Linked DNA regions of Lonchura striata. The protein of the gene in region 1 interacts with the protein of each later gene in a pairwise test. Links are inferred from orthologs where the notes say so. Each region holds a gene or a part of one and is shown in the gene's direction. Other genes may lie near its edges.

Region 1 (3,918 bases):
TGGAAACATTTTTCCAATTTTTGAGTTCATTCTCCTGATTTTTGGGTTTATTTCCTGATTTTCGCCTCTTTTTCCTGGTTTTTAGACTCTTCGCCTAATTTTTGGGCTCTTTTCCCAATTTTTGAACTCTTTTCCCCATTTTTTTTGGAAACATTTTTCCAATTTTTGAGTTCATTCTCCTGATTTTTGAGTTTATTTCCTGATTTTCGCCTCTTTTTCCTGGTTTTTAGACTCTTCACCTAATTTTTGGGCTCTTTTCCCAATTTTTGAACTCTTTTCCCCATTTTTTTAGAAACATTTTCCCAATTTTTGACTTCATTCTCCTGATTTTTGGGTTTATTTCCTGATTTTCGCTCTTTTTCCTGATTTTTTGGGCTCTTTTCCCAATTTTTGGGTTCATTTCCGACTTTTTCCCTCATTTCCCGCATTTCTGGCCTCCCAACCCGTTTCTTTGTGCTTTTTTCCCACATTTTCACATCTTTTTCCCACTTTTCGCCATTCCCGAGCTCCCCGCTCCCATTTTCGCCCTTTCTTCCCCAATTTCTGGGCTCTTCCCCCTTTTTCCTCACTCCCTCCTCCATTTCCGCCTTCCCCCATCCCGATTCCGGGCTCCTTTTCCCGCTTTTTGGCTTTTTTCCCCGTTTTTTCCTTTTTTTTCCCCATTTTTCTGGGCTCTCGCCTGGCGCAGTTCCCGCGTCCGGTCCCTCATGGCGGCTGCGCATGCGCAGGAGCGACCAGAGCCGTCAATAGACATGAATGGGAGGTCCCTAATGGACACCGCGCATGCGCAGGAGCGACCAGAGCCGTCCATAGACATGAATGGGAGGTCCCTAATGGACACCGCGCATGCGCAGGAGCGACCAGAGCCGTCCATAGACATGAATGGGAGGACCCTAATGGACACCGCGCATGCGCAGGAGCGACCAGAGCCGTCCATAGACATGAATGGGAGGTCCCTAATGGAGACCGCGCATGCGCAGGAGCGACCAGAGCCGTCAATAGACATGAATGGGAGGTCACTCATAGCGGCCGCGCATGCGCAGGAGCGACCAGAGCCATCAATAGAGATGAATGGTAGATCCCTCACGGCGGCCGCGCATGCGCAGGAGCGACCAGAGCCTGCCCATAGAGATGAATGGGAAGCACCACAGAGACGAGCCGGAAGTTCCATGGAACCGTCGAGACCAACCGGAAGTCCGCCATGGAGAGAACCCGGAAGTTCCACAGAACCAACCGGAAATCCTTTAAACACCACGGCGATGACCCAAAATTCCTCCAAAGCCGCCCGGACGAGCGGGAAAAGTTCCCCAAAAATCCCCGGGCGCCGCGGAAATCCTCCGAGGCCGGAACCGCCGCGGGGAGGCCGGAAGTGCGTCCCGGAAGCGGCGCAGGGGGCGGGGCCGGGCGGCGCCGCTTCCCGGGCCCGGCGGGAGCGGCGGGAGGGGCGGCGGGGGCGGTAAGAGCGCGGGGGGGGGAGAGGGAAGAGCCGCGGGGTCGCCATGGCAACGGCCCCCGGGGGGGGGGACGGGAGGGACTGGGGGGAACTGGGATAAACTGGGACAAACTGGGAGGGATTGGGGGAGACTGGGATGGGATTGGGATAAACTGGGAGAGACTGGGATAAACTGGGAGAGACTGGGATGGGATTGGGGGAGACTGGGATGGTATTGGGGGGGACTGGGATAAACTGGGAGAGACTGGGGGAGACTGGGATGGGATTGGGATAAACTGGGAGGGACTGGGAAGGACTGGGAGGGAACTGGGATAAACTGGGAGAGACTGGGGGGGACTGGGATAAACTGGGATGGACTGGGGGGGAACTGGGAAGGACTGGGAGGGGACTGGGATGGACACGGAGGGACTGGGAGGGAACTGGGAGGGAACTGGAGGCAAACTGGGTGAACTGGGATGGACTGGGGGGGACTGGGATAAACTGGGATGGACATGGAGGGACTGGAATGGACATGGAGGAACTGGGAGGGACTGGGAGAACTGGGGAGGGTTTAGGGGGGTCCTGGAGTAACTGAGACAGACTGGGAGGGGACTGGGATGAACTGGGATGGACACGGAGGGACTGGGAGGGAACTGGGAGGGACTGGGAGGGAACTGGGATAAACTGGGAGGGAACTGGGGGGGACTGGGAGTGAACTGGGAGGGAAAGGGGAGGGACTGGGAGGGAACTGGGAGGGGCTGGGATAAACTGGGAGGGACTGGGAGGGAACTGGATGGGAACTGGGGTAACTGGGAAGGGAACTGGGAGAACTGGGAGGGGTTAAGGGGGGTCCTGGAGTAACTGGGACAGACTGGGAGGGGACTGAGATGAACTGGGATGAACTGGGATGGACATGGAGGGACTGGGAGGGAACTGGGATAGACTGGGAGGGAACTGGGAGGAACTGGAGGCAAACCGGGTGAACTGGGATGGACTGGGGTGGACTGGGTGGGACTGGGACAGAACTGGGCTTTACTGGGACGGGTTTAGGGGAGGTCCCGGCATAACTGGGAGGGAACCGGGATGAACTGGGACGAACTGGGGGAGGATCCCCGCCGATCCCAGACGATTTTTTTGGGGTGATTTTCGCTTTTTTCAGGTGACTCCTCCCCCTCCCCCAACCGATCCCACCCGCGCCGGCGCCATGGCCGAGCCGGGCCCCGCCCCTGACGGAACAGGCCACGCCCCCCATGTGCCAGACCACGCCCCCCATGTGCCAGGCCACGCCCACCATGGCCCAGGCCACGCCCACCATGGCACAGGCCACGCCCACCATGTGCCAGACCACGCCCACCATGTGCCAGACCACGCCCCCCATGGCACAGGCCACGCCCACCATGTGCCAGACCACGCCCACCATGTGCCAGACCACGCCCCCAATGTGCCAGACCACACCCACCATGGCCCAGGCCACGCCCCCCATGGCACATGCCACGCCCCCCATGGCACATGCCACGCCCCCCATGGCACAGACCACGCCCACCATGGTACAGGCCACGCCCCCCATGGCACAGACCACGCCCCCCATGGCCCAGACCACGCCCCCCATGGCACAGACCACGCCCCCCATGGCCCAGACCACGCCCCCCCGGGCGCAGACCACGCCCCCGAGGCGCCGGGGCCGCTGGCGCTGCTGAAGGCGCGGGCGCTCGACGTCACCTTCGACGTCGGCGACGACTACGAGGTCATCGAGACCATCGGCACCGGCGCCTACGGCGTGGTCAGCTCGGCCCGGCGGCGCGACACCGGTGAGAGGCCTGGGCCGCGCCCGAAATACACCTGGGGGCACCCAAAATACACCTGGGGGCACCCAAAATACACCTGGGGGCGCCTGGGGGCACCCAAAATACACCTGGGGGCACCCAAAATACACCTGGGGGCACTCAAAATGCACCTGGGGGCACCTAAAATACACCTGGGGGCACCCAAAATACACCTGGGGACACCCAAAATACACCTGGGGGCACCCAAAATACACCTGGGGGCACTCAAAATGCACCTGGGGGCACCTAAAATACACCTGGGGGCACCCAAAATACACCTGGGGACACCCAAAATACACCTGGGGGCACTCAAAATGCACCTGGGGGCACTCAAAATGCACCTGGGGACACCCAAAATACACCTGGGGGCACCCAAAATACACCTGGGCACACCTGGGCACAGTTAAGATACACCTGGGCACACCTGGGGACACACGAAACACGCCTGGAGACACCTGAGACACACCTGGGCACACCTGGGATACACCCAGGCACACCCAAAACGCACCTGGAGACACCTGGGACACACCTGGGCACACTTGGGGACACCCAAAACACACCAGGAGACACCTGGGCACACCCGGGGCACACCCAGGGCTCATCTGAGACACAACTGGGCACACCTGGGGCACACCTGGGCTCACCTGGGCACACCTGGGGCAC
Region 2 (2,967 bases), on another chromosome or scaffold:
CTTGGTGTTGGTTGGGGATCCATGGTAGGTTTGGGCTCAGTGCTGATTGAGATTCATGGTGGGTTTGGTGGGTCTGGGCCTGGTACTGATGTGTGCCAGGGGACATGGTGGGTCGGCAGTGGGTGCTGTGTCCCTCCATGTCACCCTGTTCCTCCGCAGGGACTCTGTTGATCTGCGGCTGGAAGAGCTGAAGCCCTTCATCCCACCAGCCTGGATGACTGAGAAGATGCAGAAGCACATGGAGACGCTTCGCCGCGGGGGGGACGTGCCGGCCCCCGAGGAGCCCCCCGAACCCTGATGCCCCCCAATAAAGCCGCTTCGCTCGCAGCTCGCCGCTTCCTCGGGCACCGGGCACCGGGCTCGGGCCGCGTCCGGGCCGGCGGGACCCGCGGGGCAGCGGCCAATCAGAGCGCGGAGCGTCACTGCCGGCGCCCGCCGGCCGTTACCGTGGGAGCGGCATCCTCGGCGGGCCGTGATTGGCCGGCTCGAACGGGGCTGCGCGCTGATTGGTGGGGGGGACGCACGTGGAAATATTCAAACGGGGCGCGGGAGCAGGCGGGGCCGCGCGGGACGAGCGGACTGGAGAGTGTCCGGGCCCGGGGCTGCGACCGGGCCGCTCTGCACCGGGGAGGGGTTGGGACTGAGCCGCTCCTGCACCGGAGAGGAGTTGGGATCGAGCCGGTCTGCACTGGAGAGTGGTTGGGCCCAGCCGCTCTGCACCGGAGAGGAGTTGGGACCGAGCCGCTCTGCACCGGAGAGGGGGTGGCACCCAGCCGCTCTGCACCGAGGGGGTTTGACACTCAGCCGCTCCTGAATCGGAGACCGTCTGGAACGGGATTGGGATCGGGCCGCCGCCTCACGGGAGAGCCCCAAGCACCGCCGCTCGGCACCGGGGAGCCGCAGAGGGGCCCGAGTCCTGCCCCGAGCGGGACTGCGGGAGGGAGGGAGAGAGCAGCGGAGCCCGGTGCGGCGCCGCCCGGGAGCCGGAGCCGGAGCCGGTCCCGCCCGTGACCCGCCGGCAGCGGCGGCCGGTGCCAGTGTGCTGGTCCGTGCCCCGGGAGCCGCTATGGCCTCACAGAACGCCGACCCCGCCGCCGTGTCCAGCGCAGCCGCCCGCAAAGCGGCTGAGACCGGGGCCACGGCGGCCCGCGGCGCGGTGGGGAAGAGGTGAGCGGAACCGGGGCCGGGGCTGAGGGCGGGGGCGGCCCCGGTGAGCCGGCCGGTAACGTGCGCTTTCTCCGCAGGCTGCAGCAAGAGCTGATGGCATTGATGGTGAGTGGGGCCCCGGGGCCGAGCCGGGGATTGGGGATCCCAAAGGCACCCGGGACTGAACTGGGTTGGGGGGGTGTCTCGGGGCGTCCCGGGCCGCCCTGACGCGCTGCCCCCGCAGATGTCCGGTGACAAAGGCATTTCTGCCTTCCCCGAGTCCGACAACCTCTTCAAGTGGATCGGGACCATTGACGGCGCCGCCGGGACGGTGAGAGGCGAAATCCCGGTCTGAGGTGGCCCTGACCCTGCCCCACCTTCCTCCCTTCAGCTGAGGGTGTTCCTAGCCCTCCATTGCCCTTGTACCTCTTTTTCTTCGAGGCTTCCCCACACCTCTGGGGCTACAGCCCCCCCTGACTCCTGTCCCACTTGACTCTCACCCCAGGCCTACGAGGAGCTGCGGTACAAGCTGTCACTGGAGTTCCCCAGTGGGTACCCCTACACAGCACCCACCGTGCGGTTCCTGACCCCCTGCTACCACCCCAACGTCGACACCCAGGGCAACATCTGCCTCGACATCCTCAAGGAAAAGTGGTCAGCGCTCTATGATGTCCGCACCATCCTGCTCTCCATACAGAGCCTGCTGGCAGGTGGGTCTCGCGGACAAACTGCTGTGGAGTGCTGGGGGAAGGGGTGGTGGTGGTGGTGGGGCTGTCCAACCCAGATCAGGGCTCAAGGGTGTCCAGGTCACCAGCTAACGCAGCCACTGTTTCCAGAGCCAAACATCGAGAGCCCTCTGAACACACATGCTGCTGAGCTCTGGAACAACCAAGTTGGTGAGTACCTGAAGCAGAACCCTCCTGCCCTCTCCCCAGTGGGATGGGCAGCAGCACAGCTCCCAGTGCCTGTCTGGCCCCACAGCTCCCTGGCCACTGCCTCAGGACCCTTGGTGTCATGTTCTCTCTTTCCTCAGCCTACAAGAAGTATGTGCGGGAGACGTACAACAAGCAGACCAAGAGCCAGGAGACCTGACCATCACCACCACCCCTCAACACATCCCCTCCCTCCCGGCCATCCCCCGCGTTCTGTATCATAGGCTGTTTTTAAATTAATGTCGCAGTCCGAGCCATGGTTAATGTATAAATAAATGCAGGTTTATAACTTCTGCAGGGGATTCTGTGGCAGCTCTAGCACACCCTGAGTGCCCAAGAGGCCCCTCTGCAAGTGTGGGCGTGAAGGGTGGAAGGGATACTGACCCCTGTGGGGTAATGAAAGCTTTATCAATATTTGGGGGCCTGGAGCAATTCTATCTACAGGGTGGGAGCAGCCCACACCATAACCTGCAAAGGCAGGGGCTGAGGACTGTAGGGGTACCTCTGTCTCCTGCTCTGTGACAGGGGTGTCACCTCTGCTGCTATCTCCTGCCCCCCTAGCTCACAGCACCCCACAGCAGTGCCCAGCGCAGGGGCCGCCCCAGGCCGCTCTCTGTGTGGTGCCACTTGTCTCTGCTGGCTGTGTGGTCTCTGTGGCTTCCACTGTCCATGGTGGAATGTTGGCTCCGCTCTCCATCTCTGCCAGCGTGGCCCTCACCTGCTCGATCTCCTCCTCCAAGCACTGGGCAGTCGGGGGCTGTGTGGGACCCCCTCCTCGCCGGCTGGGCAGCCCCCAGCCCCCCAGCCCGGTGTGCAGCGGGGCAACACCACCCCCTTGCACGGAGAAGAGCTGGCAGAGGTGCTGGGCTCTGTACAGGTCCTGCAGGAA

Evidence for each region.
Region 2: the proteins of MAPK7 (region 1) and UBE2C interact in binary tests that used the Homo sapiens proteins (3 or more experiments, as listed by UniProt). The two-hybrid records come from large-scale screens. The link is inferred for Lonchura striata from reciprocal best matches to the Homo sapiens genes MAPK7 and UBE2C.

What each region holds. Positions count from the first base shown.
Region 1 is NC_134637.1:104,348-108,265, forward strand, and holds the start of MAPK7 (mitogen-activated protein kinase 7), read left to right. Parts: upstream 1-1,214; 5' UTR 1,215-1,369; intron 1,370-2,591; 5' UTR 2,592-2,636; coding exon 2,637-3,240; intron 3,241-3,918. UniProt on the Homo sapiens protein: Plays a role in various cellular processes such as proliferation, differentiation and cell survival. The upstream activator of MAPK7 is the MAPK kinase MAP2K5.
Region 2 is NC_134619.1:8,182,287-8,185,253, forward strand, and holds UBE2C (ubiquitin-conjugating enzyme E2 C), read left to right. Parts: upstream 1-1,066; coding exon 1,067-1,167; intron 1,168-1,244; coding exon 1,245-1,272; intron 1,273-1,390; coding exon 1,391-1,477; intron 1,478-1,651; coding exon 1,652-1,856; intron 1,857-1,982; coding exon 1,983-2,042; intron 2,043-2,179; coding exon 2,180-2,238; downstream 2,239-2,967. Other genes in the region: DNTTIP1 (deoxynucleotidyltransferase terminal-interacting protein 1), read left to right, coding at 160-298; regulator of G-protein signaling 9-binding protein-like, read right to left, coding at 2,641-2,967. UniProt on the Homo sapiens protein: Accepts ubiquitin from the E1 complex and catalyzes its covalent attachment to other proteins. In vitro catalyzes 'Lys-11'- and 'Lys-48'-linked polyubiquitination.